Oryctolagus cuniculus: one gene and its partners. The protein of the gene in region 1 interacts with the protein of each later gene in a pairwise test. Links are inferred from orthologs where the notes say so. Each region holds a gene or a part of one and is shown in the gene's direction. Other genes may lie near its edges. The genes, in order: FSD2, PBX3, CORO1A, CDC73 and ESD.

What was found.
Region 2: the proteins of FSD2 (region 1) and PBX3 interact in a two-hybrid assay, tested with the Homo sapiens proteins (3 studies listed by BioGRID and IntAct). The two-hybrid records come from large-scale screens. The link is inferred for Oryctolagus cuniculus from reciprocal best matches to the Homo sapiens genes FSD2 and PBX3.
Region 3: the proteins of FSD2 (region 1) and CORO1A interact in binary tests that used the Homo sapiens proteins (3 or more experiments, as listed by UniProt). The two-hybrid records come from large-scale screens. The link is inferred for Oryctolagus cuniculus from reciprocal best matches to the Homo sapiens genes FSD2 and CORO1A.
Region 4: the proteins of FSD2 (region 1) and CDC73 interact in binary tests that used the Homo sapiens proteins (3 or more experiments, as listed by UniProt). The two-hybrid records come from large-scale screens. The link is inferred for Oryctolagus cuniculus from reciprocal best matches to the Homo sapiens genes FSD2 and CDC73.
Region 5: the proteins of FSD2 (region 1) and ESD interact in binary tests that used the Homo sapiens proteins (3 or more experiments, as listed by UniProt). The two-hybrid records come from large-scale screens. The link is inferred for Oryctolagus cuniculus from reciprocal best matches to the Homo sapiens genes FSD2 and ESD.

The regions. Positions count from the first base shown.
Region 1 is NC_091443.1:101,652,250-101,657,988, reverse strand, and holds part of FSD2 (fibronectin type III and SPRY domain-containing protein 2), read left to right. Parts: intron 1-1,594; coding exon 1,595-1,617; intron 1,618-3,178; coding exon 3,179-3,300; intron 3,301-5,739.
Region 2 is NC_091432.1:229,672,406-229,678,144, forward strand, and holds part of PBX3 (pre-B-cell leukemia transcription factor 3), read left to right. Parts: intron 1-3,549; coding exon 3,550-3,740; intron 3,741-5,739. UniProt on the Homo sapiens protein: Transcriptional activator that binds the sequence 5'-ATCAATCAA-3'.
Region 3 is NC_091450.1:7,505,892-7,512,121, forward strand, and holds the start of CORO1A (coronin-1A), read left to right. Parts: upstream 1-2,696; 5' UTR 2,697-2,855; intron 2,856-4,176; exon of another isoform or gene 4,177-4,208; 5' UTR 4,209-4,209; coding exon 4,210-4,407; intron 4,408-5,381; coding exon 5,382-5,504; intron 5,505-5,593; coding exon 5,594-5,723; intron 5,724-5,804; coding exon 5,805-5,989; intron 5,990-6,094; coding exon 6,095-6,214; intron 6,215-6,230. UniProt on the Homo sapiens protein: May be a crucial component of the cytoskeleton of highly motile cells, functioning both in the invagination of large pieces of plasma membrane, as well as in forming protrusions of the plasma membrane involved in cell locomotion.
Region 4 is NC_091444.1:9,956,448-9,962,065, forward strand, and holds part of CDC73 (parafibromin), read left to right. Parts: intron 1-3,060; coding exon 3,061-3,161; intron 3,162-3,582; coding exon 3,583-3,857; 3' UTR 3,858-5,618.
Region 5 is NC_091440.1:65,776,065-65,782,580, reverse strand, and holds the start of ESD (S-formylglutathione hydrolase), read left to right. Parts: upstream 1-2,880; 5' UTR 2,881-3,043; intron 3,044-6,516.

The DNA.
Region 1 (5,739 bases):
CGGAGGGATCGCTGCCCCATCTCTCTGCGTAGCTTTGCAGCAAGTCAGACACAGCCGACTGCGCGTCTGTCCGCATTGTTGAGGTAGCATCAGCGTTTGTTCTTCTATTACCCGGAGACCTGCGCCCTCATCCCGGGGCTGAGCAGAAACAGTGCCTTGAGGGTTTTCTGGGCACCGCTGAAGGTTTCTTGGAGCTCTGGGGAGCAAACTGTCCAGGCTACAATAAAGTCACCTGAGACGTGCTGGTTACCAGGGTAGCCATGATCAATCTTACTTCATCAACTCACACAGGCATGTCAACCCGAATTCCATTTCTCTGGACAGGCATTGGGCGCAGTGGTTAAAATGCCACTTGGAGCACCCACATCCCTTATCAGAGTGGTTGGTTCCAGCCTAGGCGCCTCTGCTTCTGGTCCAGCTTCTTACTGATGTGAACCCTAGAAGGCAGCAGGTGATGGCTCAAGCACTTGGGTCCCTGGCATCCATGTCGGAGACCTGGACTGAGTTCCTGGCTCCTGGCTTCAGTCTGGCTCAGCCCTAGCTAGTTTGGGCATGTGGGGAAAAAACAAAACTGGTATATGGAAGCTCATTCTCTCTCTCTCTCTCTCTTTCTCCCCCTCTCCCCCCTCCCTTCCTTCTATCCTCTCTCTCCCTCTCGCTCTCGCTCTCTCACTCACTCTGCCTTTCAAATGAATAAATAAACTGTAAAAAAAAAATCAAATTAAACTGGACTCAAGCCCCTCCAGCTGGGCTGGGGAGTTTCAGTCTCAGAGCTGGGCCCTCTCGTCACAAGGCCCCACAGGAGTATGGGGGAGACGTGGTATCCCGTATAGGGGAGGGGTCTTCAGCCTCCAGAAGCTTCCTGGCTGCCAAGCGTGGACCCCACCTTACCCAGGCCCACAGGTGCCCCATGAAGCCCCCGTGCCTCCTTCCCGGCACGTGGGGGCAAGGGCCCCAGGGCTAACACTTGAGGACAACCTGGCACCAGGAGAGGCCCCCACATGCAGACGGCTTCAACCAGAGGCCCTGTGGAGCCACTGGGTCATGAGGACAGACCCCAGAATGCAGAGAAAGGGACACTCAGGGAGAAGTTCTCACCGAGAAACGACCACCACCAGGGCACCCATTAAGCCACTGAGGGCTTTTCCGTTCTGGGGGCTGCTTGCAATCTTTGTAATCAGGGGCCCAGCTTGTAACACAGACAGGGCTTGCAGACGTGGGGAACCTCTTTCCTGCCAAGATCCATTTGCGTATTGACAGCCGCATCTGCGGGCCAGACAAAATTCTCAACTTAAAACCGAGCCCGCTGTAGGTCGATTGCATTTCCAGTCCGGCCTGTGCTTGCCTTGGCAGGGCCAGACCCAGTGATTTCACAGCTTTCTGTGGTCCATGGACTGGATGTTCTCTGCCCCGAGTGCTGATGGGAAAAAACCAGCGGCATGGAAGAAAAGGCAGAGGCATGGAGAAAGCAACTAATGATTACTGTTCCCTTTTCCTAACTTCCAAGTTTAAAAATACATTGATATGATTTCCTACTTTGAAAAAACAATCTTTTTCCAAAGCGAGTGTAATCTTTTCTCCGTTTCCTCCCTAGGACGCAGTGGCCATGGCCGACAGGTAAGCCGTGCATTCTGGCTGCTGCTTCCTTCGGCTCTAGAGAGCCAAATCGACCCAGCTCCTCTTGGTCAAAGGCTTCCGATTCGGCTTCTGTCTCTGATCCTAAGAGTAAAATAGCACTGGCTTCGGAGTGTCGGCGAGGGGACACAAGGACCCCCAGTACTGAATCTCAGTGTTCAGGGCTGGAGGGGACTGTGCCCGATGAGGCCTGAGGGTAGACCCCCTCGTTAGCCAAGGGTGGGCTTTGCCGGGCCCCGGCCTAGCAGCTGCAGAAGGTGCGCATTTCAGAGTCAGGCGCTCAGAGGCTCGATTCCCGCTACCCCCGAGAGCCTGGGGAAGCCCAGCTGACCTAGGACCCTCCTTCCTAACAGACAAACAAGGATGGGTTTGTGATAACCAGATAGACGGTGTCTACATCCAGCAACAGGAGCACAGGAGCTTAATCAAGTAAGGGTTACGTGCAGGGGTTTTGGCAAAGCCAGACCTGGTTTCAGATTCTGCCTCTGCCATTTACAAACCCTGCGACTGCCAGGAGGCAGGTGCAGGAGGACGCAAAGGACCACAGTCAGCAGCTCGAGGGCACTCGGCCGTGGGAGCAGGAAGCCCCCTAGGAAGTCTGAATCCTCTGTACACCACAGGGCCCAGCATGGCGTGGGAAGGGGGCCTCCAGGCTAGCTCGTGGGAGATCTTCCAGGAGGTGTGGTTCCGGATCTCACTGGCAGGTGCCCCACGCCACCTTCTGATGGGACCTGCCCCTTTCTCCTCACCCGTAAAGGCACAGGCTAATCCCACCCATCCCGCTGGTGAGCCCCTCGGTCAGTCACTGAAGCAGCTAGCAGAAGGCAGCCAGAGCATGTCCCACTACAGGGAAGGAAGTTCAGCATGTCCCCAGTGAGAGACCCAGGACGAGAATCACCCTAAGGAGGTTAGGCCTCCATTCTTGTTCGTGTGTGCTTAAGAGGGCACACTTGGGGCCTACACTGCGGCACAGTAGGCTAAGCCTCCGCCTGTGGCGCTGGCATCCCATATGGGTGCCAGTTCCTGTCCCAGCTGCTTCTCTTCTGATCCAGCTCTCTCCTAATGGGCTGGGAAAGCAGTGGAAGATGGCCCATGTACCCCTGAACCCACGTGGGAGACCTGGAGGAAGCTCTTGGCTCCTGATTTTGGATCAGCCCAGCTCTTGCCATTGCAGCCACTTGGGAAGTGAACCGGCGGATGGAAGACCTTTTTGTATCTCCCTCTCTAACTCTGCATCTCAGATAAATAAATAAAATCTTAAAAAAAAAAAAAAAAAGAGGGCACTCTTATCTGCTGGCTCACTCCTCACATACCTACAATGGCTGGGACTGGGCAGAGGCCTGAGTGAGGGACTTGAAAACTCAATCCAGGTCTCCCACGTGGATGGCAGGGGCCCAACTACTTGAGCCATCATCTGCTGCCTCCCAGGTCTGCATTAGCAGGGAGCTGGGATTGGGAGCAGAACCAGGCACCCCAATATGGGACGCAGTGTCTTAACTGCTGGGTCAGGCACAAACCCCAACACGTGTGCTTATACCAACAGACTCGGGAAGTTCCTGAAAACAAAAACAGATGTGGAAATCTCTGCACAGCCCGACTTTGAAGAGCAGACCTTGGACTTCTCGGACGTGGAAGAGCTGATGGGCTCCATTAACAGCATTCCAGGTGGGCCTCTCACCCACGCCCACTGCACGCCAGCGCGGATTCCCCGGGGCTTCCGCCTTGTGCTTTTGCATTTTTGTGGTAGGAACGTGCACCACGCGCTCGCTCTCGCGCTCTCTCTCTCTCTCTCTCTCTCTCTCGCTCTCTCTCTCTCTCCATCTTAAAGTGCACACTCTGTCTTGCTAGCTGTGGGGCCGACCTTGTGGGGCGCACCTCCAGGTCCCGGTCTTCTCACCTAACGGAATCCGCAACCACTGAGACCAGCTCCCCAGCTCCTCCCCTCCCCACGTGACCGCTCGGCTCTCTGCCTCTGTGCACTTCTTCTAAGTGGAATCAGGCGGTATTTATTCTTCTGTGATTGGCTTATTGCAGTCAGCATTATACCCTCCAGCCTCATCCGTTTTCATAAATGGTGGGACTTCTTTCTTTTTTAAGGCTGGATAGTACTTTTCACGATAGATAGATCACATTCCCTTTATCCACTCTTCTACTGACAGACACTTAGGTTATCTCCATACTGTGGCTACTGTGAAAAATGCTACAGTGGACGTGGGTGTACAGGTATCTCTTTGTTTTCCATGTTGGCTATATCATTCCACATTCCCGCCAACAGAATACGAGGGTTGCAGTTCTCTGCATCTTCATCAATACTTGTTACTTTTGCTTTTTGATAATAGCTATCCGAGTAGGTGTGGGGTGATATGCCACTCTGCTTTTGAGCTGCCTTTCCTTGATGATTTGTGAGGTTGAGCACTGTTTCATATGCTTACTGGCCATTTGTGTGTCCTCTCTGGAGAAATGGCTATTCTAGCTCTTTGCTCATTTTTAGTTGGGTTGTTTGGATGTTTTGGTTGGCGGTGGTGTTTTGGGGAGTGGATTTTGTTTTTGCTGCTAAGTTGTAGGAGATTCTGATACACTTTGCATATCAGTTTCTTTTCAGTGAAAAGGTTTGAAGATATTTTCTTTAGCTTTATAGTTTTTCTCTTTGTTCTATCGATGGCTTCCTTTGCTTTTTTTTTTTTTTTTTTTTTTTGCTTTTTGCTTTTTGCCTGTGATTTGATGTCACATCCAAGAAATCTTTCCAAGACCAATTTCAAGAATTTTTTTATAGTTGAAAGTCTGACATTTAAATCTATACAGTGTAGTTCATTTCTGTGTATGGTTTAAGATCGGGTCAGATTTCATGCTTTTCATATAGAGATCCAGTTCCCTAATCCCATGTGTCAACAGAGAATATCCTTTCCCATTGAATGTTCTCGACTCCTTTCTCAAGATCAGTTGATTTATGCATGATTCATGAGCCTAAATTTATCAGAAGGAAGGAAATGGTAAAGCCTAGATAAGAAATTAAATTGAGACTTGAAAATAATAGACAAAAAAGACAAAAAAGAGTTGGTTCTTCAAAAAGATAAACAAAACAGACAAACCTTTAGCTAGACTAAGAAAAGAAAGGAGACTCTGATAAAAGTAGAAATGAAAGAGGAGGAGATATTACAACTGGTGTCACAGAAATGCAAAGGCTCCTGAGGCAACACAGTGAACAAACTGGATAACACAGAAGCAATGGATAAACTCCGAGGAACATACAATCTGCGTAGATGGATTCATAAAGAAATTGAAAATACGAGCAGACACTAATGATTAAAGAGATTGGAGCAGTAATAAAAATTCTCACCGAAGAAAAGCCGAGGGCCAGGTGACTTCACTCACGAGTTCTACCAGAACCCAAAGGAATCAAACGCTCCCCAAAAATTGAAGAGAAAAGGACATTCCCAAATTTATTTCATGAGGCCAGCATTATACTGTGATACGAAAGCCACACAAAGACACTATGAGGAACAAAACTTTCAGACCAAATAGATGCAAAATCTTCCAAAAATTATAGCAAATTAAACAATGCATTAAAAGGATTATATACCATGGCCAGGTGGGATTTAACCCTGGGATGCAAGGATGGTTCAATGTATGTGAATCAATAAATGAGACACACCACATTCAACAGAAAGAAGGAGAAAAATCATCAGCAGACGCAGAAAAAGCATCTGATGAAATTCAACACAGCTCAACAACGTGGGTACAAAGGAATGTACTTCAACATAATACAGGCCTTATAAGACAAGCTTTGTGACCCTGGGTGATCTATAAAATCTCGCTGAGTCGGCATCTTCATCTGATGAATGGACACCATAATGCTTCGTGGGGATATGGTAAGAGTTAAATAAATAATGTGTGTACAGCACGTTACATGAGGCCAATCACTTATTGGAGGATAATAATAGAATTCAGCTTTGTTTGCTCACTTTCCCTTTCTCATCAATACTCAACAACATGATGAACGATACTGTATGTATCAATTTAGGTTTTTCCTTGAGCAGATTTTTTTTCAGAAAAATGAAATTATTCTGGGTGTTCTTTTTTGTTAAAACAAAACAAAAAAAAAAA
Region 2 (5,739 bases), on another chromosome or scaffold:
CCGTTAAGGACACTGCTGGCCTTGGTGCATGCTTGTGTGAACGCATAGTGGTGAAGGGCTGAAAAAGGAAAACTCGTCTGCTGTGGTTTTTCCCCAAAGAGTTTCTCTTAGCACATTGCTCCACAAGATGCCTTCAGCTGTGCTGTCCAGCGGGATAGCTACCAGCCGTGTATAGCTAGTGAGCACTTAAGGTCTGGCTGTAAGTACTCAGAGCTGGGCTATTAATGTAAAATGCATACTGGAGTTCAAGGAGTAAAACATAACAGAATGTAAAATACCAAATTAAAGATTTTTAAAAAATTAATTACATATTTTAAAAGTTAATATTTTTCAACACTGATTAAATAAAATACATTGTTAAAAAATTTATTTCACCAGATTCTTTAGATTCTTATTATTTTTAAAAATTTCCTAAGTGGCTCTCGATAAATTTCTGCTATATAGCACTGATCTAAAGATATGAAGTTTTATGACCAAATTTTTTTGGGGGAAGTTGGATATACTACTTCTCCTTGAAAATTTATGATGTACTTTTACATAGAAATATAAAGGAATGCTGCAAAAAATTCATTTAGAATTTAGGTTAACCTAGCAAGTCCCCAAACATACTGTATTTTTTTTAAAAAGATTTATTTTATTTATTTGAAAAGCAGAGTTAGAAACAGGGAGAGATAGAGAGATCTTCCCTCCACTGCTTCACTCCCCAAATGACCAAAGCCAGGGCCCAGGATCTTCATCCAGGTCTCCCATGTGTGTGGCAGGGTCCAAGGACTTGGGCCATCTTGTGCTGCTTTCTCAGGCACATTAGCAGGTAGCTGCATTGGAAGTAGAACAGCCAGTACTCGAACTGGATGCCAGCACTACAGGCGGCAGCTGAACCTGTTACACCATAGCACTGGCCCCATGCTGTATTTTTGGAACATCTGTTAATATTCTGTGGATCCAGGGGCCAGTGCCGTGGTGCAGGTTAAGCTGTCTCTTGCAGAGCCAGCAGCCTATATCAGAATGCTAATTCAGGGCCGGGACTCTGCTTCCATTCAGCTCCATGCTCATGTGCTGGTGAGGCAGTGAAAGATGGCCCAAGTGCTTGGGCCCCTGCACCCACTTGGGAGACCAGGATGGAGTTCTTGGGCCCTGGCTTCAGCCTGGCCAGAGTTGGCTGTTGTAACCATTTAGAGAGTGAACCAGGGGTAGAAGATCTCTCTGTCTGCCTTTCAAATAGATAATAAATAACTCTTTTTTTGAGATTTTTTTATTTATTTGAGAAGTAGAGTTACAGAGAGAGAGGGAGAGACAGAGAGAAAGGTCTTACTGGTTCACTCTCCAAATGGCTGCAACAACCAGAGCTGGACCAATCTAAAGCCAGGAGCCAGGAGCTTCTTCCAGGTCTCCCACATGGGTGCAGGGGCCCAAGAACTTGGGCCATCTTCTACTGCTCTCCCAGGCTGTAGCAGAGAGTTGGATTGGAAGAGGAACAGCTGGCACATGAAGCAGCAGCGATTCGGGATGCCGGCACCACAGGTAGAGATTCAGCCTACTATACCACAGTGCCAGTCCCAATAAATAAATTCAAAAATGTGTATTTTATGGATCTAGCTATAGAACTATAAAATTTGCTAATCCTAGTTTGAGAAAAGTTATTAATCAATTTTCTTCATTTTACTGATGAGAAAACTGAAGACTAGAGTGTGTCTAGTTATATAATTTGGAAATTCTGTAAATATCTCCTTAGAGAAATTCAAGATAAAAAATGTATACATGTATTTCTTGACAGAGTGACCACTTATTTCCAGCTTGGCATAAACAGTTGAAATTGATAATACAGTAGGGGAAGATCTTAAATTTATTTCAAAAATTTTTGGTTTTCTTAAAGACAGAAGAACTAGTTTTAGTCTGTTTAATATTGTACTGTATCATAACCTAAGACAATAATTATTAACATTTTTTTAGTTATAAACTGTTTGAGAATCTGAAAGCAAAGAAAACTCCACAGATTCTCCTCCAGGAAATATACAGGTGCACACAGCTTGCATAGGATTTCAAGGATTGCAGATGGTCTAAGCCTATCCCTGGACCTGTGGATATTAACCACACTTACTCTAGCACTGACAGTGTAAATCTGCAGATGGTTATTGTATGCCCTAAGCAGAGGAATACCAGAAGTATATACCATAAGGTCATTACTCAGAAGGGACTTAGAATTTCTGAAGACTTTAAAAGACTAACAGTAAGCAAGACTAACTTTACCTCACCTTAGAAATATTTATAGAAAAGCTTAGAATATGTGAAACATTCAATATACTTGGTGGTTAGTTCTCTAATGAGCAGTTAGGAAAACCATAATGTGCTTTATGTGAACCATGCCAGGTTATCTATATGGGAGTGGACATTATTATAGCTTCAAAATATGTCTTGCATTGATCAATGATTGTTCTGTCTGCTCACCCTGCCAGGCCATGAGTTCAGTAGGATACAGACTTTTTCATCCTGCCTTTTTAACGAAAATGCCAGAAAATGTTCTTTTTCTTCAGATGTATATACTGATACTTTATTTCCTAAGGCAGTATGGGATTTCAATGGAGGCCCAGTTAATGTGGTTTTGTAGACTGAAAGACTATAGGTGAACTTAAATGGACAGTATCTGAGATTGTTAACTAGAATATTTGAGACCCAGATCTGATCCCTGTTTTCCTGCAGTCCCTCCCCTGAAGAGCTGAGCTGTTTACAGGGTGACGTGAGTCTGGGCCTATACCACAGCTACCCAGTGGTGTGCGTACAAGGCCCTTTATGTGCTAATCCAAACCCAAGTCCCCAGTTCTCTACATGCTCTTTTCCTATTAGCCATTCTCCCATCTTGCCACATACTCTTTGTAGAGTTTTTCTTATGCCTAGAATTTCTTTTGACTTCCATCTTCGTCTCCCTTTTAAAAGTCCTACCCATTCTTCAAAGCCCAGATACCGCTTTCACCGTGAAGCCTCCATATGAGACTACCCTCTCCTTGGAAATTACAAAGCACTTCTTAATAACTTCCTGGTAGACTTTGCACTGCTTGCTTTGTGAGAGTTAGTTTTTTATGTATTTTATCTCACTAAAGGCCAGGTCTACACCTTGCTCATCTCTGTATCCCTTACAACACTTGTAAGAGTTTGAACTACTTAGTCCTAAGTAAACATTTGTTGAAAAATGTAAAACCACAGAGAAAATAGAAGATGTTTAGTACATAGTTAACATATATTATTACTTAGACATAGGAGTTGGTAGAGAGCATCCTCTAATGGGAAAACTTTATTTTGGAACTGGGACAAAGGTGGTAGGAAGGGCACTTGAATGCTGTGTCTCCCTTGCATGTCTGACCATTCATAGTTTCAGAATTGGTGCCCCACCTACCTCACCACCATTTCACAAGTGTCCTAGCTTTCATTTTACCCTGCCCTGCATAATGCCATTGGTGATTGTAAATGAAGTGGAAAGTCAGATGAGTTCATGTCTGAGTGTGATGATATAAAATATCAGATTGCTAAGGAATGATTTTTTTTTCCCCATTACAGGCATGTAATGAATTCACTACACATGTGATGAACCTTCTACGAGAACAGAGTAGAACACGTCCCATTTCCCCAAAAGAGATTGAAAGAATGGTGGGCATCATCCATCGAAAATTTAGTTCTATTCAGATGCAGCTCAAACAAAGCACTTGTGAAGCCGTTATGATTTTAAGATCAAGGTTCCTTGATGCCAGGTATGTGAGGTCATAAATAAATCTATTGCATGGCTCCACCCCGCTCCCTTTCCCCCTCCTTCACTCCTTTTATATAATTTTCTATGAGATCAGCCGGTTGCTCATCAGTTCTTGTTTAATTCGGCTATCAGAGCTCTTCTCTGCAGTGGACAGGTAAAACTCTGCTGTGAAGTCCCTTGATGTCTGGGGGTGGCTGTGCAGTGAGCTGCCAGTTTCGGATTCAGGAGACGGATAGAGTGAGCACTACTGCTTTCGGGCTAGGTAGCCTTTCAATTCTGATGCTAGACAGGATTTTTAAGGATAATTTTCTGCATATAATTCTGTTTTAACAATGGTATGTATGTCTAAGAATTCCTTAAAGTTATGTTGCTTGTACATATTATGAGAAAATACTTAGAGGTATTGATAGTCCTAAGCAGGAATTGGTATTTCACCTGATAGAAGTTACCATAAAATCCCAGACACTATCTTTCTAATCAAGTGAGAAAGTCTCTCAGTTTCTCCTGTAAGGATGAAATTTCCCTTTTATTTGAAGCTTTCACCAAGTTTCACAGCAGTTAGGTAATACGTTACCTGTAGTAGTAAATTGTACGTGGTGACCTAATGAGTGACAGAATAGTCCAGGTCCTCATACATGCTACCTCCGTGGGGTGCCTCTTGGATGTTGTTGAGGCTTATAATCAATCTTCAGTTTCAGAAGGGAGTTTCTATTTTGTTTTTCTTTCTACCCCTTGGAATTTGACAGAGGTGATAATTATCATCTACATCTCACTATATTAAAGAAAATAAGGTCTTTTTTTTTTTTTTTTTTTTTGAAAACAAAGTATGTCGAACAGTCTTCATTCCAGAGCTCCTCTGTAGAGCCAAGTAAAATGTTTTATGGTGGGGCCAGTGCTGTGGCTAGAAGGTTAAGCCTCTGGCTACAGTGCTGGCGTCCTATTTGGGCACCAGTTCAAGTCCCAGCTGCTCCACTTCTGATCCAGCTCCCTGCTAATGTGTGTGGGAAAGCAGGGGAGAATGGTCCAAGGTCTTGGGCCCTTGTACCTATGGTGAGAGACCCGAAAGAAGCTTCTGGCTCCTGCCTTTGGACTGGCCTGGCTCCAGCTGTTTTGGCCATCTGGGATGTGAACCAACAGATGAGCAATATGTGTCTCTCTCTCTCTCTCTCTCCTTCTTTCTCTGAATCTCTGCCTTTCAAATAAATGAATAAATCTTAAGAAATATATAAATAAGAAAAATGTCTTATGGGGCAACATTTTGGTGTAGTTATCACCATGCCACTTGGGAAGCCCACTCCCCACGTCAGAGTGGCCGGGTTCAACTCCTAGCCTTGTTTGCGATTCCAGCTTCCTGCTGATGCACACACTGGAGGCAGTAGTGGTTCAAGTACTCGGGTCCCTGCAATCTGTGGAAGACCCACATTGAATTCTGGGCTCCTGGCTTCAGCCTGATGAGGCTCCATCTGTGTGTGGGAATTTTGGAGAGTGAGCCACTGGACAGGAGAGCTTCTCTGTCATGTTGCCACCTGATTATACTGCCATTTTTCTAATTAAGCAGAACTCTGTGTTGCTTTTGGTTCCTTCCCCTCCCACACTGAATCAGTGACTAGAACTCCCCCAGTGCTTCATTCGCAATGTGTTCATGTCGGCCCCTTTCTTTCATCTTTTGTTGTGCTACTTATGCTTTTCCTTTTGTTCCTTGACTAGCATGGTTCCCCCAGTCCTCTGCTTCCAGCCTTACTCCCCTCTCGCCCACCTTCCACTCATCTTCTCTGCTTCTCTGCATCACTAGGATGCCCTCATTGCTTTGCTTAAAATCCACAGTAGCTTGTCAGGGCTGGGTAACGCACACACATTCTCCTTAACTTGGCATTTAAGGCTTTGTTTGACCTGTCCCTCTCTGAATTACATTTCTGTTGTAAAGATTTTACTTGATTTTTTTCTATTTAAAAAACACCAACCTCACTTCAGAAAATTTGGAAAATACGTAGAAGGTTGAG
Region 3 (6,230 bases), on another chromosome or scaffold:
AGATGCGGATTATTAAAAATAGTGTGCACGTATCTTCCCTGCGTGGGCATCTGTGTGAGCCTGTTCTGACTGGCTTATCCCACCTGGTGCTGAGACAGCCACTGTGGGCGCCGCGCTGGCCTCCCAGCCGCCTTCCAGGCCCAGTGGTCAGGGAGGTGACTGTGCGATGCCGGAGCAGCAGCAGGAAGGCCAGCTCACGGGAGGCACAGGGAGCCCGGCACCTCCCCGTCTGTGGACACCTGCTTCGCACGGCTTCCCTGCTCTGGCCTCACATCTGCCCCGGGCAGCAGCTCCACGCCGGCCCACCTCTTTCATATATATATATATATATATATATATATATATATATATATATATAAAGATTTATGTATTTATTTATTTATTTGAAAGTCAGAGTTACATAGAGAGAGAAGAAGAGGCAGAGGGGCAGAGGGGGAGAGAGAGAGAGAGAGAGAGAGAGAGAGAGAGAGAGAGAGAGAGGTCTTCCACCCATTGGTTCACTTTCCAATTGGCTGCAACTGCCAGAGCTGCGCCAAACTGAAGCCAGGAGCCAGGAGCCTTTTCCGGGTCTCCCACATGGGTGCAGGGACCCAAGGACTTGGGCCATCTTCCACTGCTTTCCCAGGCCACAGCAGAGAGCTGGATCAGAAGTGGAGCAGCCAGGACTCGAACCAGTGTCCATATGGGATGCCGGCACTGCAGGTGGTGGCTCTACTCACTACGCCACAGCGCTGGCCCTTAGCTATTCTATTCTATTCTATTCTTTGAGAGGCAGGGAGAGAAAGAGTGTATTCCCAGTGTTCCCATCTGCTGGCTCATTCCCCAAATGCCCACAAGAGCCAGGGGCTGGGAACTCCACCCGGATCTCCCACGTGGTGGCCAGGACTCCAGTAGTTGAGCCATCACTCCTCCCAAGGTGTGCATGAGCAGGAAGCTGGGGTCAGGGGCAGGGCCAGGACTCAAACCCAGGCCCAGGCCCCCTGATAGGGGATGCAGGTGTCCCAAGTGGTATCTTAACCCTGGTGCCTAACACCTCTCCCCCAGCCATCATTCCTGTTCCCTCAGGTGGAGACTGAACCTCACTGACCCTGCTCCATCCTGGCCCTTTCTGGCCCACTGTGGCTCAGTAGCAGGCCAATCCAACATCTTTTTTTTTTTTTTAAAGATTTATTTATGGGGTCAGTGCTTTGGCGTAATGGGTAAAGCCCCTCTCCCCCTGCAATGCCGGCATCTCATATGTGCACCGGTTCAAGTCCTGGCTGCTCCACTTCCTCTCTAACTCCGCCTTTCTTATTTATTTCTTAAGATTTATTTATTTACTTACTTACTTACTTGAAAGGCATAGTTACAGATAGAGAGAGGGAGAGATGGAGAGAAAGGTCTTATCCACTAGTTCACTCCCCAAATGGCCACAGTGGCTGGAGCTCTGGCAATCCAAAGCCAGGAGCCAGGAGCTTTTTCCAGGTCTCCCACGTGGGTGCAGGGGCCCAAGCACTTGGGCCATCTTCTTCTGCTTTCCCAGGCCATAGCAGAGAGCTGGATTGGAAGTGGAGCAGCTGGGACTCGAACCGGCGCCCATGTGGGATGTCTGTACTGCCGACAGCGGCTTCACCCACTACACCGCAGCACCAGCCTCCCCACACCCCCCCTTTTTTAAACAATGGCATCATCTGTTGAACCCATCCACATCCACTGCCTCCATGGAACCTCGCAACTTTTTGCAGGGAGCAGGAACAAATCTTATTTATCCCCCATTGACAGATGAGGAAACCGAGATTCAGAGAGGGCTGGCCTCTTGCCCAAGATCACACAGCCAGTCAGCGGGGGAGGTGGGACTTCCGCCAGCCCCTCGCAGCTCCGGAACTTCCTCACTCCGCGGGCTCTGGCCTTATGAGGCCCCGGGCCTGGGCGCTGGCTTAGCCTTTGGAGGTCACCATAAAGCTGACACTTGTCTTCAGAAGTCATGCTTAAAGCTTTGCTCGGGTCATTTTTGGTAACCATCCCCATAACCCTATGAGGCAGGGGCTCCTGTTAGGGAGGGAGAAACAGAGAGGTCAAGGGACCTGCCCAGGTCACTCAGCAGGTGCGCTGGCCTGGAGTCTCTGGAGTAGAACCCTCTCTGGGTTGCCGCCGCCAGGAAGCCCCACTAAATCCAATGACAGGAATGAACTCTCCCCGCGGGAGTTTGGCCTGGAGCTGCTGCCTCTGCTTCTAGCCGGCTGCCAGCGCTCCAGGGGCCCGCGGATGACCCCTTCCAGCAGAATCCCCCACCCCCCTGCCCGGGTAGCTCCCGCCACGCCCAGTGTTTCTGCGGAGCGGGGGTGAGGGGGCAGGGATGCTCCGCGGGAAGACACGAGACCCCCCGCCCCAGCCCGTTCGTCCGTATAGGAGCTGCGCCAAGGACCCAGGGCCCGGGGCCGCGCCAGGCTGTCCGCGCTCCGCTCCGTCCCGTCGGGGCCACAGCCGGGCTGCGGGGCGCGCGCGGCTCTCGAAGGGCGGCCCTCGTCGGGGCCAGGGCCGGGGTGGGCCGGAGCGGGGAAGGCGGCGCGGGGCGTGTGCGCACCTGCGCCGTGCGGGTTCGGTCCCGGCGACCCGGCAGCCGCCGGCGCCCGGCCGGGTGCCCGCAGGCAGGGCGGAGCGCGCGGCGGCCGCGGAGCAGGGCAGGGCCGGCCCCTCCGCGAGCTCCGCCCAAAGGGGCGCTGCCACCCGAGGAGGCGGCGCACGGCTGCTTCTCATTCATTGTCTGACAAGAGCATCCTCCGCCGCCAGCCTCGGCTCCTGCGGCTCCTTCCTCCTCCTCCTCCTCTTCTTCCTCTCCCTCCTCCGTCCGGGGGTCCGCTCACCTCTCGCAGCAGGTAAGGCCGGGCTCCGGGGGGAGCGGGCCGGGCTGGCCGCGGGGACCCAGAGTCACTGCCCCGGGCCACCTGTGGGGCAGGCGAGAGCGTGGGCGCCGCGGGCTGTCAGGCGGCCTGGCCCTGCGGGGGGACGGGGCCCTGGGCGCTCTGGGCAGGTGCGGGTGAGGGAGCTCCGCGGCCAGCATGGAGGTGGGGGGGGGGCGCAGCAGGAGCGGGGGTCCGGGCAGATGCGGCGCCCGAGTCTCTGCGGGTGGGGGTGGGGGGCAGGGTGGGGTGAGCCGAGCAGCTGCCCTGAGCCTGACGACAGGAAGGGGTTGCGAGCAAAACAAGACAAGACCAAGTTCCCCTTTCCGTGGTTTCCGGGCCTGGTACCTGCGGTGGGGGAGGAGGCAGGGTGGGTCGATGGTTTCCTGTCCCCCACCTCTGATGTGGGGCTCCCTCTCCCCAGACCCCGGCTGCCCACCTGTCCTACAGGCTGGGTCCCCATCACACAAGCGCCTCACCTCCTTTCTGGCCAAGCAGGTCCACAGGCTTCTTTGGGGGTGCCTGGGGGGCAGGGGGGGTTCGAGCCGGAAGCAGGAAGAGGCCAGACCCCAAGCAGGCTAGTATGGGCATGGCTAGGGAGGTGGGCACGTGCCCTTGCAAGGTGGCACACGAGGGAGCCCTGGGCACCAGGATCTGCCCAGGGCTTCGCTTGCCCCCCTGCCCCCCTCGCTGGACCTCAGGGAAGTGGCGTCCGCCTCTCCCTCCCTGTGTGCAGTTCCGATGGGGGTGCATATGGCACTCATGGGCACCTGCTTTTTTTCTGAGCGGAGGCGGGAAGAGGAGGTGTGGGGAGGAGATACTGGGACCCAAGCCATCGCCTGATTCTGGCGCCCAGAGACCTACGGGGGAAGCCATCATGCTGCCGCGTTCCCTCCTGGGCAGGCCCACGCTCCACTTCCCGAGTGTCCAGCTGGGTGGTGGCAGGCCAGCCCTGCCCCTGCCCCACAGGCGTGTGGGCGTGAGGGCCGTGGGCTCTGATGCTGCAGTGAGAGAGACCCCCTCACCCCCACCCCATGGCCTGGGCCAATGCCCCCACACCGGAGCCATTCCGGAGGAAGGCCCCACAGCTTTCCGTCAGTCAGCAAACTGGGGGAGCCCTGGGGGCTGCCACCCCCAGCCCTGCTGAGGCTGCGGGTGCAGGATGGAGAGGGTGGTTTGAGTGGCTGTGGTGGGAGCAGCAGGTGGCTCGCTGGTCAGGCAGGAGCGAGGAGGGGCGGGGGAAGGCCCACATGGGGGGTGATGCTGGGACCCTAAAATCCAGACTGGGTATCCCCAGGGGAGACAGGCTCTCGGCCCCTGTGCCCGCAGAATGAGCCGGCAGGTGGTCCGCTCCAGCAAGTTCCGCCACGTGTTTGGACAGCCGGCCAAGGCCGACCAGTGCTATGAGGACGTGCGTGTCTCCCAGACCACCTGGGACAGTGGCTTCTGTGCCGTCAACCCCAAGTTCCTGGCCCTGATCTGTGAGGCCAGCGGGGGCGGGGCCTTCCTGGTGCTGCCCCTCTGCAAGGTGAGCCCCCTGGGGGGCCTGGGACCGTGGCTCCCCTACCTCGGGGCGCCTCTGTGGGTTGGACGAGGTGACTGTCACCAAGCCTTCCCAGGCTGTGGTGGTGCCCCCTGTGGAGCTGAGCTGGGCCAGAGGAGCTCCTGGGGCGGGGACAGGACAGTGCAGGGAGGGCTGCGGGCCCAGCGCCGGGGCTCCCAGGCCTCACTCAGCCTGGGGGGCTCTTTCTCCCCTTGGAAGCTCAGGGAGGGTGGGCTGGGGGCCGGGGGGGCCCAGCAGTGTTCTCAGGGCTGAGCCAGCTCTACCCCCAGCTCAGCTGTTGCCAGCGGCCCGTGGCCTTGTTGTGTTGACTGCCACCCCCCACCCCCCGGCACAGTCCTGTGCTCTTTGGAGGGCAAGACAGGAAGGGAGGGGGGCCCTAAATTGTTACCTTAAAAGGGCCGATGGCAGCCAAGAGGAGAGGAAGTGGTTGTCGGGGTGAGCTGGGCCCGCGCCCCGCACGGCTCCCCCCACAGGAAGCCCTGCTGAGGCAGCAGGCCCCGGAAGAGGCCATTTCCCAACCTCTGCTCCAGCCTGGGGCCTCTTTCCCTTTGCCAGTTCCCACCCCTGCAGCCCCCCCCCCCCCCAAATTGCCACCCCTTCCCCGGCAAGCCCCAGCCCTACTGGGGTTCAGGGCCCCGGCTGGGAGTGTTCATGCAAGCCTCCCACAGGGAAGCTGGGGTGGGGGTGGGGACCCTCAGGGCACAGACAAGACAGGGAGATGGGCAGAGCTGGGCCAGGCTGTCCCGGGCTGTGCCGCGTGTGTCCAGCCTTCCTGGAGTTTGCCCAGGAGCCCCTGGGAAGGGGGCAACGAGCTGGGCCCACTGTGGGGGGGAGAGGGCAGGCACCACAGACCCCTGCTGGGCTTCTCTGAGGGGTGGAGGGGCGGGGCGGGGCTTCCAGGGCAAAGGCACCTGTCCAAGGCCCCGCCCGCCCTGTAGACTGGACGTGTGGACAAGAACGCGCCCACGGTCTGCGGCCACACTGCCCCTGTGCTGGACATCGCCTGGTGCCCACATAATGACAACGTCATCGCCAGCGGCTCTGAGGACTGCACCGTCATGGTGAGCGCCGCTGGGTACGCGCCCGAGGGGGCTGCAGGGTGGGATCCGATATTCGGAGCCCCGAGGACTCACCGGCCCCTTCTCGGCAGGTGTGGGAGATCCCTGATGGGGGCCTGACGCTGCCCCTGCGGGAGCCCGTGGTCACCCTGGAGGGCCACACCAAGCGTGTGGGCATCGTGGCCTGGCACCCCACGGCTCAGAACGTGCTGCTCAGCGCAGGTGCGTGGGGGGGGGGCGGGGGAGCGTCCCCGCGTGCCTGAGGGCGGGGCCTCAGGCGTCTGACACTCAGGGATCACGCAGGTTGTGACAACGTGATCCTGGTGTGGGATGTGGGCACGGGGGCGGCCGTGCTGACGCTGGGCTCGGATGTGCACCCGGACACCGTCTACAGCGTCGACTGGAGCCGCGACGGCGCCCTCATCTGCACCTCGTGCCGCGACAAGCGCCTGCGCATCATCGAGCCCCGCAAAGGCACTGTCGTGGTGGTGAGCGGCTGGGAAGGCCGGCCCCCGCCCCCGAGGCCTTTACCCCTCCTTCCCGCCGTGCACCGAGCTCCCGGCTGCAGCCCCAACCTCCTCCCTTGCCCCTAGGAGAAGGACCGGCCCCACGAAGGCACCCGGCCCGTGCACGCCGTGTTCGTGTCTGACGGCAAGATCCTGACCACAGGCTTCAGCCGCATGAGCGAGCGGCAGGTGGCGCTGTGGGACACGGTGCGTGCTGAGCTGG
Region 4 (5,618 bases), on another chromosome or scaffold:
CTCTTTCATTTTAATTATCCTTTTCAAGAATTAATGGTGGGGGCCGGCGCCGCGGCTCACTAGGCTAATCCTCCGCCTAGCGGCGCCGGCACACCAGGTTCTGGTCCCGGTTGGGGCACCGGATTCTGTCCCGGTTGCTCCTCTTCCGGGCCAGCTCTCTGCTGTGGCCAGGGAGTGCAGTGGAGGATGGCCCAAGTGCTTGGGCCCTGCACCCCATGGGAGACCAGGAGAAGCACCTGGCTCCTGCCTTTGGGTCAGCGTGGTGTGCCGGCCGCAGTGGCCATTGATGGCAGGCCACGCCGCTGCTCACTAGGCTAAGCCTCTGCCTGTGGCGCCGGCATCCCCGGTTCTGGTCCCGGTTGGGGCGCTGGATTCTGTCCTGGTTGCCCCTCTTCCAGTCCAGCTCTCTGCTGTGGCCCGGGAGGGCAGTGGAGGATGGCCCAGGTCCTTGGGCCCTGAACCTACATGGGAGACCAGGAGGAAGCACCTGGCTCCTGGCTTCGGATCGGCGGTGCGCCGGCGGTAGTGGCCACTGGGGTGGTGAACCAATGGAAAAAGGAAGACCTTTCTCTCTCTATCTGTCTCTCTCTCTCTCTCACTGTCTAACTCTGCCTGTCAAAAAACAAAAAAAATTAATGGCAAGAAACATTATTCTGTTCCCCTGCCATTGTGAGACCAAAGTAGGAGCTAGATAACCTCTATCCAGCAAATTCTTTTTAGTTTGCTAAACTTTCACATTTTACCTTCAAAGACTTAAGCAGACTAAGAATTTTAAACTGATAGTCTTTTATGATAACTTCGATAGTTTCTATAGATCTTCATTTGAATAAAAGATAACCCTGGTTTAATATAGAGTATTTGTCTCTTGCCGTGGTTATCAAAATGTGGCCTGCAAGGCTTTAGACATTCCCAACACCCTTTCAGAGAATTTCCAGGTCAGAATGGTTGTCATGGTAACACTGAGATGGCTGTTGTTATTAATCCCACAGCAGGAACAGGAGCCTATCCAGTACCCAGGACCAGGATTCATTCTCCTGTCTTCCTGCCTTCTCTCCCTTTCCCTCCTTTCTCCCTTTCTCACATGTGGACTATTCTCTAGTGTGCCCATTTACTTCTGTGTCCTCATCTGCTAAATGGAGCTGTATAATAGTCATCTCAATTATTATTATTAATATAAAGAGAGCTGATTTCATGCACTCCCATACGTACAGTTCCAAGAAGACAACCACACTTCTCTCACTCCCCTGTTCACCACCAGCCCCTCACCCTCTCCATCCCTCCTCTCTCTTCATCAGTTTTTGCAAAGACATAATTTTAATCCACTCTATATTCAGAGGCTTAATTTGCCACTAATCACAATATTCAACAAATAAAAGAAGGAAGACAACTGTTCCGCAGGAGTATAAACAAGAGCTTAGAACAACAATCATATTCCAGAATGTCCATTTCATCCCTGTACATTCTTTTGTATTCAGTATTAACTGCCACTTATCAGAGAAAAAATGGGATATTGGTAGTTTTGAGACAGGCTTATTTCACTAAGCATAGTGGTTTCCATTTACATCCATTTCTTTGTAAAAGAATTTCATTAATTTTTATGGCTGAGTAGTATTTCATGGTGTTGTGTGTGTGTGTACATATACCACATTTTCTTTATCTAGATATTAGTTGATGGACATCTGGGTTGATTCCATATCTTATCTATTGTCAGTTGAACTGCAGCAAACATGGGGGCACAAATAATTCACATGCTGATTTCATTTCACTTGAGTAAATTCCCAGGAATGGGGTGGCTAGATCTTACATGGTAGATATATATTCAGATCTCTGAGGAATCTCCATACTGTCTTCAATAATGGTTGTACCAGTTTACATTCCCACTAACAGTGGATTAGGGTACCTTTTTACCTCACATCCTTGCCATCATTTATTTTTTTTTTAAATTTATTTTATTTATTTTAATTTTTTGACAGGCAGAGTGGACAGTGAGAGAGAGAAACAGAGAGAAAGGTCTTCCTTTTGCCATTGGTTCACCCTCCAATGGCCGCTGCAGCCGGTGCACCGCGCTGATCCGAAGACAGGAGCCAGGTACTTCTCCTGGTCTCCCATGGGGTGCAGGGCCCAAGCACTTGGGCCATCCTCCACTGCACTCCCGGGCCACAGCAGAGGGCTGGCCTGGAAGAGGGGCAACCGGGACAGAATCCGGTGCCCCGACTGGGACTAGAACCCGGTGTGCCGGTGCCGCAAGGCGGAGGATTAGCCTAGTGAGCCGTGGCGCCGGCTATTGTTTTTTTGATCTTTGGATGATAGCTATTGTAACTGGATTGAGGTGAAACCTCATTGCAGTTTTCTGAGCCTTTTTTTCTTTCTTGTTTTTTTTTTTTTTTTCATGTGTCTGTTGGCCATTTGTATTTCATCGTTTGAAAAATGCCTGATCATGTCCTTTATCCATTTCTTAAATGGATTGTTTTGTTGTTGAGTTTCTTGAGTTCTTTGAATGAAGATGGTTTGTTAATATATGTAATATAGAATGCCTTCAATAGTAAATACTCACTGTGTGTTACTAATATAAACCATATTGTTAATGCTTTGTTCCCTCCTCTTTAGTTGTAGTCTTGAACTGTGTATTGCACTATTTACAGATTCTCAGTTTAATGGAATGTTGTACAAAATCATGAAATATGAGGGCATAGAAAAATAAAATATTTAAGATGTGTTTGAATTTAAAATTTTTCTCCTGTGAAACCATCTTTTTCAGTTAATGGGTGAGCAGCTATTCTCATTGGAGGGAAAGCAAAAGGACTAAATCAGTCACACAGAATTATTGTATATACAGTTATATTAAAAAGCTTGGGTACAAAAACAAATGTATGGGAAGTACAGCAGTCATGAATGCGCTCTAAACGCTGATATATTGGAAAGTTAAGGTAGTGTATTTACTGTATTCACCTCCTAAGAGGGTTGGTAGGAGACCCTTTTCTTGGGGATTTCCAGTAACTGAAGCTTAGGACTGAGACGCTCTTCCCACCACCCTCTCTTCATCCCCTTATCTCTTTGCAGGGACCGGGTCGTAGCAGTTTTTGTACAGGGTCCTGCTTGGCAGTTCAAAGGTTGGCCATGGCTTTTGCCTGATGGATCACCGGTTGATATATTCGCTAAAAGTAAGATTTTATTTCTTCTAATGTTTATCTACACTAAGTGTTGTTACTTTAAAAGAATGAGCCATCTTTGATTGTATTTTAAAGTATTTTAAAGTATCACTCTTATGCAACTTACTTAATGTTAACTTTTTAGCTCTGTATTTGTTTGAAAACCTTTGAAATTGTACAATATTTTCTGTGTAGTTTTATCTAAAAGCAATTATTGCCTATACAATAGCACTATTTTTTGGTCACTAAAAAATCATTAATACTGCTGCATATCCACATGTTTTCATTACAGTGGACTGCCAGTTTTTAACTGGATTGACTTTGGCTGAGTAGATGATGCATCTGTATGTTATAGTGCCATATGTATTTACCAGCTATCCCATCATCTCTCTCTCTCTCTTTTTTTTTTTTTTTTTTTTTTTTTTGGTTAAAGATTTATTTATTTATTTGACAGTCAGAGTTACACAGAGAGAGACCATCCACTTGTTCACTCCCCAATTGGCTGCAATGGCTGGAGCTGCGCCGATCAGAAAGCAGGAGCCAGCAGCTTCTTCTGGGTCTCCCACACAGGTTCAGGGGCCCAAGGACTTGCGCCATCTTCTACTGTTTTCCCAGGCCATAGCAGAGAGCTGCTGCTATGGAAGTGGAGCATCTGGGTCTCGAACCGGCACCCATATTTGTTGCTGGCACTTCAGGCCAGGGCGTTAACCTGCTGCGCCACAGTGCTGGCTCCTATCCCATCATCTTAATAAATGATTGTGTATCATTGCATTTCTTATTTCATTCAGATCTCAGTAAACGGTCCTATTTGAAATACACTGCACTTCATTTTAATTGCGCTCTAAGCGGTTTTATTTTCTTGGTAGCACTTAATTATTGCTTGACCTCACCTAGCTTTTACATTCTTATAGTGTAAGTTCCACTTTGAAAAGATGCCTTTTTTGCCTCACTCATCATTTTGGCTTCAGCACAGAGGACTTACAGGCACATACCTGTTTAAAGGATTATTTCATGTGGCTCATATTTTTATTAAATATGGTGGCCTTCAAAAAAGTTCTGAAGGGGCAGAACACATTGTAGTATCTGGATTCAGTTCCTGGCTCTGTCCTTTTTTTTTTTTTTTTTTTTTTTGACAGGTAGAGTTAGACAGTGAGAGAGACAGAGAGAAAGGTCTTCCTTCTGTTGGTTCACCCCCCAAATGGCTGCTGCAGCCAGCATGCTGCGCCAATCCAAAGCCAGGAGCCAGGTGCTTCCTCCTGGTCTCCCATGCAGGTGCAGGGCCCAAGCACTTGGGCCATCCTCCACTGCCCTCCTGGGCCACAGCAGAGAGCTGGACTGGAAGAGGAGCAACCAGGACAGAACCGACGCCCCATCTGGGAGTAGAACCCCAGGGTGCTGGCGCCACAGGCAGAGGATTAGCCAAGTGAGCCGCGGCACCGGCCCTGGCTCTGTCTTTTGACTTTAGCTTCCTGCTAATGCAGACACTGAGAGGCAGTGGTAAATGGTTAGGTAGTTGCTTTTCTGCCACCTTCATGGGAGACTTTTCAGCTCCTGGCATTGGAATGGCATAACCAAGAACACTCTGAGCAGGTGGCGGGTGAACCGGCTGATGGGATTGCACATGCAGGTATGCATGTTTCTCTCTCTCTTTCTCTCTCTCTCTCTCTCTCGTGTGTGTGTGTGTGTGTGTGTGTACCTCCAATAATTTTTGAAAGAAGTTTATGGAAATCCATATTATGAAAAAAGTATGCATGGATTTTAAGATTTTTTTCACCAAAGTAAACTCATTCTAACTTATTACAACATGTCTGAACAAGATCTAGCTTAAGACACTGAGGAGGATAAAACATCAGTTTGAAACGAGCTCCTGTTAGAGCAACGTGAATTATTTTAAAATGGAAGCAAAAACAAGCATCAAATTGATGATGCCTACGTGGAAGAATGGGGAAGCCTCTGCTTATAAAAGTTTATGGAGACAAAGCCCAAAGAAATCAGCAGTTTACAAATGGATTACTTGATTTAAGAGACAGGGTGGTGTAGGAGATAAAGCTCAAAGCTGCAGACCATCCACACTGATTTGTGAAGAAAAAGTTTGATCTTCTTTGTGTCCTAATTCAAGAATACCAGTGATTAACAACAGCAACAATTGCCAACAGCACAAACATCTCTGCTGGTTCTGCTGACACCACTCTGACTGAAAAATTAAAGTGGAGCAAACTTTTCCGCTTGATGGATGTCAAAACTGTTGCATGCTTGTCAACTGCAGACAAGAGCAGAGCTCTCAGTGGAAAATTTTAAACAAATAGGACTGAGATCCTGAAGCATTTCTTGGAAGAAATATGACTTTACCATCATAATTCTGAAGACAGCACAGTCAGAGTACTGTCTACCAAGAGCTGGAAGTGGGGCCATCACAGCAAAAGCAAACCAGTCAAGAACCAAGGGCATGGCAACAGGTTTTTGGGATAT
Region 5 (6,516 bases), on another chromosome or scaffold:
AAATAAACCAAGAAACTGAAAACCAACAAATATGTAAGAGTCAAAACTGAAAGTATACTGTCGTAGAGCAGAGACTAGGAAAGAGTCTCTTTGGACAGGAAGAAATTTATAATTTTAGTACTGTTAACAGAAAGAATAACAATGGCTAATACAAAGTTCTTGTTCTGTGTCAGTTACATTTTAACCTTTGGCCCTTTTGGAGACACAGAAGGAGCAACAGATACTAGGAATGTACTGTAAAAAGAACTGTAGGAATTAGAATTTAAAGGAGTTAGAAAAAAAACACCAGAAAAATAAAATGGAAATCAATGCATGAAATTTGGATCTTTGCAAAGTGAATAGGAGATGGAAACAACTACTGTTAAGGTCTGTCTGTACTGTCTATTCTAGTTTGCTCTGTAGTTGCTATAAAGTTAAGAAAGAACACTGGCATAGGGCTACAAGGCTGCAATACTTGGTTGAGTTGCCAAGGTCCAAAGTCTGGTCCTCAGAGGAGTACACATTCAGAAACTCAATTTTATTAAGTAAACATCACATTCAGAAAAAATAAGTCTCTTAGGAAATTTATCATTTCAACTAGATTCACCTGAGACTAAGGCATTATTAAGCTACATTCTGATTTATTAAATAACAAGTGAGGCTATTCTTTTCTGAAATGTCTCTAGGTGAGAATACCATCAAAATAAAGGGCTCTTTCGAAAATACCTATTAAGACCAATGGTTCTCAACTAGGGCTGATTTTGCCACCCTTTCCTCACCGCTGCACCAGTGGACATTTGTCAATTTCTAGAGACATTTTGGGTATGCAAGCATGTTGGAGGTGCCAGTAGTGTCTGGCCAGTAGAGGGCAAAGATATTATTAAGCAGCTTACAAAGTGCAAGATGGCCTCCCACAACCAAGCATGATTTAGCTCCAACGCCAACACTGAGAAACCTTGATTTATCTATAGAAAAGCTGTAAAACCACTTCTCAAGCAGCATCCCTAACATTCAGTACATGATGTCATTCTCCATGTACAACACCGTTTCTAGACTTGCTGAGAATCATCTCTGCTCTAGACTGAAGGTTTGTGTCTCCCGAAACTCACATGTTGATACCTAAATCTATAATGTGACAGAATGTGGAGGTGAGCCCTTTGGGAGAGGTAATTACTTCAGGAGGAATGAGACTGGAGTCCTTATCGATGGCACTAGTGCTTTTCCTTGAAAGACGAAGAGACCAGAGCTTGCCTTCACTCTGTCAAGTGAGGGTTGAACAAGAATGCATCACTTCTCCTAACAGGAAGAGAGCTCTCACCAGTAACAGAAAGGCCCACAGCTCATACTGGACTTACAACCTTCAGAATTGGGACAAATAAATTAACGTGAAGAATAGATTTCCGTTAAGCCACCCGATATCTAGGATTTTTGTTACAGCAGCTGAGCCTAAGACAATTTCCTTTCCAGAGGCTTCACCTGGTTTTGGGTTCTTTCACTTTCATTGTATCATTTTGTTGCCTACCTAAGATCACATCCGACTCATTATAGTGCAAACTGATAGTCCCTAACTCTTCTCAGCCATAAATTTAATTTTGGATCACTTACTTGGTAGTTAAGATTTACTCACTTTTTATTATGTTTCATTATCTGAAATGTCATCCTTAATTTCTGATTTCAGCTTAGTTTGCCCTTCTATGCAAATAAAAAATATACTCCTACTAATTTAAAGAAATAAATGTTGTGGATGTTATCCTTTTATTTATGCTGGGTAAAAGAAATTTCAGTTCTGATTACTATCACACTGTATTAATACACTAACCCTTTAGTAAAAGGACTTCACACTTACAGATCTTAGGCTAGTTTGTACCTCACAAGGCATCAATTTATTAAATGAACATCTGTAACTTTGCTCAAATATTCATCAGTTCTAAGGAAATGGTAACATCCAAACTGCGATCCGTTTTAGCTGTGAAACTCAATTTGAGGAAAATCCACTCTTCAGTGATTTATATTTTAAATCAGCAAAAAAGGAACTAAAAACCTTTTACGTCAACGCTTTCACAAAAACGTGGTTTTGCATATACATTGTTTTCAGCCTGAGTCTCAGTGTATCCACAGGCCCACAGATGCAGGCCACAGGTTAGTTCGGTTCAAAAGGTATTTATGGCAAGGACGTGCGGCACACAGCAGATTCAACACATCATCTCCTGGTGGCAGCTCATTCATGCTAGCCGACAGGTTCCCTTACTCAGCAAAATCAGCTCCAAAACCCGCAAGGTCCTATAGAACATGAAAACGGAGAGCTCGCCTTCAACAACTCTTGAGAGACCAACCCAAGCGTGCAGCCCTTCCCATCAGCAGCCCTAGACACACAAGTTGTCTGCCCAGCAAGTCAGAACAAAGTGCCTGTTTACAACTTGGCATTCCAACCACTTGTTCCTACAAACACTGGTGGACACATTTAGCTCTTTGGGATAAGTTTGGTTAAATCCGAGAAGCCAAGAATGAAGGGACGATTTGCAATAACCAGCAACTCTCAGGTCAGCTTTTACTGAGGGAAGAATTAAAACCAGGACGTGGAGAGGGTTCCCACCACCTGCCCGGCCACCGGCGATTCCAATTGCCTCCTGTTTCACGCAGATACCAAGTTGGGGGCCCTGGTTTCTAAATAACCGTAAACCCTTTCCACGAGTTAAGCGAAGCCAGACCTCAGCTTTATTAAAGCCTCGGCCTCCTGCGGGCGCACCCCGCTAGCTGACCCCGCAGCAGGCGAGCCCTTCCAGCTTCAAACGCCCGCCTCGCTGCTGACGCAACCACGCGGGGAGGAGGGAGAACGAGACGGGCAGGGGGAGGGGCGGCCGCCCACGCGGAGGACGCCGGGAAGCGCCTGGAGAAGGAGGCGGGGCCGAAGGAGGACCCGGCCGCAGCGTTCGGACGAGAGGGGGCGGGCCCGGGGAGGGGTGGGGCCTAGTGTGGGCGGGGCCGGCCTGGTCCCCCGTGGCCATATTGACTCCCAGCCCTTCCCTACGGCTCCATTGCTTCTGCACCGGGGCTTCCGCTACAGGTAAGACCCGATCCTGGCGAAACACCTGGACGTCCTTGGCCCGCCTGAGCCTGGGGTTGCAACAGTGACGCGGTAGGGCCCTCTGGGGACGGACGCCAAGGCCTGCAGCCCTGAAGGTCCCCGGGCTGGACGTGGGGACAGCGATCCCGGCCCGGGGCGCGCGCCTCGCTTCCTAATCCCATTTGCTGCGCTGAGCCCGCCAGTCACCCGGGGCGCTCGGGCGTGCTTCTGCGCCGCACGGGAGGCTGGCGTAGTTCTCGTGCCAGCCACTTGGCCAGCCCCTCTCCGCCTCCTGGGCCCGTGCCGGGGCGCGCACAGCCCCTCGGAGCATTGGTGGCGCCGCTGGCTGGCCTGCAGCCCTGGGCCCTGCTCTCGGGGGGGGTGGGGGGGGCGACCTTGACCCGGGGGCGCGGTCAGCGGCGCACCCCGGGGACCGCAGACCGGGATGCCCCATCTTCGCGGTCCGCGAAGTCTCAGGGGTGTAAAGTGCCCGCAGAGGTGTGTCGGGACGGGCTTGGGGGCGTTTCTTTTGGGATCCTCGTGGAGATGGCATTGCTGGCTGCAGGAAAACTAACGTGTATGTGCTGCCTATAGCAAGCATGAATGAACTTTCATTCCTGGAGCAGCCCTAGCAAATCGATAGATTATATACCCATTTTGCAGACGGGGAAATGAGGCCTTGGATTAAATAGCTTGCCCAAATTCGTGTGGCAGTTAAGTGGTAAAACCGGAATTTGACCTCGAAGATCTGGTTGGAGAACCTGTGCAGAGACCGTTATACAACGGCCTCAGGGACAGCCACCCAATAGAAACATCCAGGCCATCCTGGAATGATATGTCATTGGATTCGAGGGAAGTAAGGGGAGACCAGAAAAATAGGGTCGGGCCCAAAATTCAGATCTTAGAGCCAGGTGAAAGTATTCAGAGTTGACAGATGCCGTCCTTCCCCACAGTGGATTAGATGTTGGTCAGTGATCAGGCCTTGTGCACTTTTATGGAAGACACTGCTTAGCAATAGGTAAATTAGGTAAAATGTGACAAAGATATTTGGGACTTCATTTGTCCTTGCCTTTTTGTCAGCACTCCTTCATAGATTGGACTTTGTGAAAGTATAAAGGCACCAAACATCAAGAAAATTATATAATTGACTGCATTGTCTTCAATTTGCATGACTTATTGGTTCTTAACTACTGGTCTGATGGCCAAGTCAGATTAGCTCGCTAAACCTGTCAAAGCCAGGGTGTGGTCAAACATTTATTATTTGCGGATTAATTTGGGCTAGCTAATCCTGTTTCTTAAAAATGACTAAGTGATATACTTAGCACTACTGAAATAGGTAATTACAAATGGTTAAGACAGTAAATGTTATTTTCACAATTTTAAAAATAAAAATGAATAATAGTTCTGTGGAGGCCATGTTACACCACAGAACAGCCCTCAGACTGGTTGGAGGAATTGCTATAGAACCCCCCAAGTTGGGTCCTCTCCTCTAACGTGCAGAAAGCCAATCAGTGACATCAGGCTAGTGGAGGAAAGGAAATGTTTGTTGTAGAGTACAGAGCAAGGAGTCAGGCAGCTACGGCTTCAGTCCCTGGCCCCCGCCAGCCAGGGGTAACACGGACAGGGTCTTACAGGTTCAAGTTGGGCTTGAGAGGCCCATACTTTGCTAGTGCCCAGGTTCCTAGTTGCTTTGACATGCGTGTGACCCTCCTTCAGTTAGTCAGCAATAATTTCGTCCTTTAGAGAATTTTGATTATGTCAGAGTAGGCTTCAGTCTACTGAGGGCTCCAGGCCTGAAGTTACTGGAAAAGAAACCCTTGAGACCAGGCAGAACATGAAGGTGTTAACTGTTAGAGAAACTAAAGAACTGTTGAGTCCAGGGATTCAACTTTGTGGGTGCTGCTGCACCACTCCCTCAATTCAGCGAGATTTTAGTAAGTGGTTGATTTGCTAAGCCAAGACAGAGCAAGTATACTAAGTTAATGGAGGGAGGCTGAGGAGACCTTGGGAGATGAAGAGTTGATGGGGCCTGGCATCTACATTCAAAGCACCATAGGCTCAGTTCAGTTAGGCCCCAAGATCTCTTCATAGGGATAGTAGTGGTTTATATGGATTAGAACCCTGTGTTTTCATGCAGAAGTGGTTATAGTGGGACATACTGCTAGAAAGACGAGGAATCAAAGTTTTAATTCAATTTCTTATGCATAATTAGGATGATGGCACTGGGAATTCAAAAGATCACTTCAGGATTCTTGCAATGTAGATTTGACAAGAAGAGCATGGGTCCGGCAAATAGAGGCAAACAAAAGAAACGTTTAACGGCGGGAGATGTAAAGGCTTGATTTTAGATTGGGTGAATTTTGCTCGCGAGTGAACATACCTTCACATACCTTGCCAGAAAGCTCCAGCAAGAAGTTCCATTTCCGGCACTAATGTGGAGGAAGATTAGATAGGAAGGTGCAAATTTAGATTCTTCCACCCAGAAAATGCAGTCGAATGTAGGTGAGGGGGTTAGGGGAAGAGGAAAGGAAGATGGGGAGGGGGAGCCCCAGAGTTTGACGGAGGAGGATTTGAACAGAGGCAGTGGTTGCAACGTCAGGTGCTGCGTTGCCATCCACTGGTTTTGTCCAGGTTGTTAAGAGCTAGTGGAGGGGACACACTGGCATTGAAGACATGGATCAAAATCCAAGGCATCTGAGGAAATGAGGACAAAAAATACAAGCAGAAATATATATAGGAAACTGGAGACTGGAGAAGGAGAGAATAGGTAAAAATAGAAATAACTCAGATTTCTGATCACTTCTGAAATTAAAGAGAAGAACAGTTAGATGGGACCATTTGGCCTTTTAGGAATGCATGCTTTGTAAATAAAAAAAAAAAAAAAGGAAAGTAAGTCATCTTTAACCAGATTGGCTTTAATGGTTTTTGACCATTCACGTGTATCATGTTCTAAGAACATGTTTTCTTTCCCAAAGAATATTAGTGTTAACTTTCTAGAAAAATTATGTAATTCCTTCCTGGTATTGAAAAAGTCTTTGGGGTCTTTGGTGTGGCAGGTGCAGAGATTGTTTTGTTCTTTGCTGTTTACCCAACTCTGTCACCCTGTTGCTGCCACACAATGTTAGAAACTAAATACACCTGTTTACCTTTAGTAGAACCTATATAAGACATGCCAATCAAAAAAAAAATACATATGTCAGTTTCTACATATGCATGTACATCTCTTTTCACTTTGTATCATTCATCTCAGCCGTCTTCATGAGCCTAGCCTGTGTTCTTAGCATGTCCTTTCTAGTCAGTCAGCCCAGAGGTTTTCCAGCCTTGTCTCTCCCGCCTTTTCCTTCCCACATGGTAAGTTTGGCCTCTCGCTCCGAGCCAGGTAGAGCTATCTTCCTTGCCCTTCCTCTCCTCCACTCCTGTTTCTTTTACTCTCAGTTGTCAACTGCATCTCATACTTCTAAATACCAGTTTGA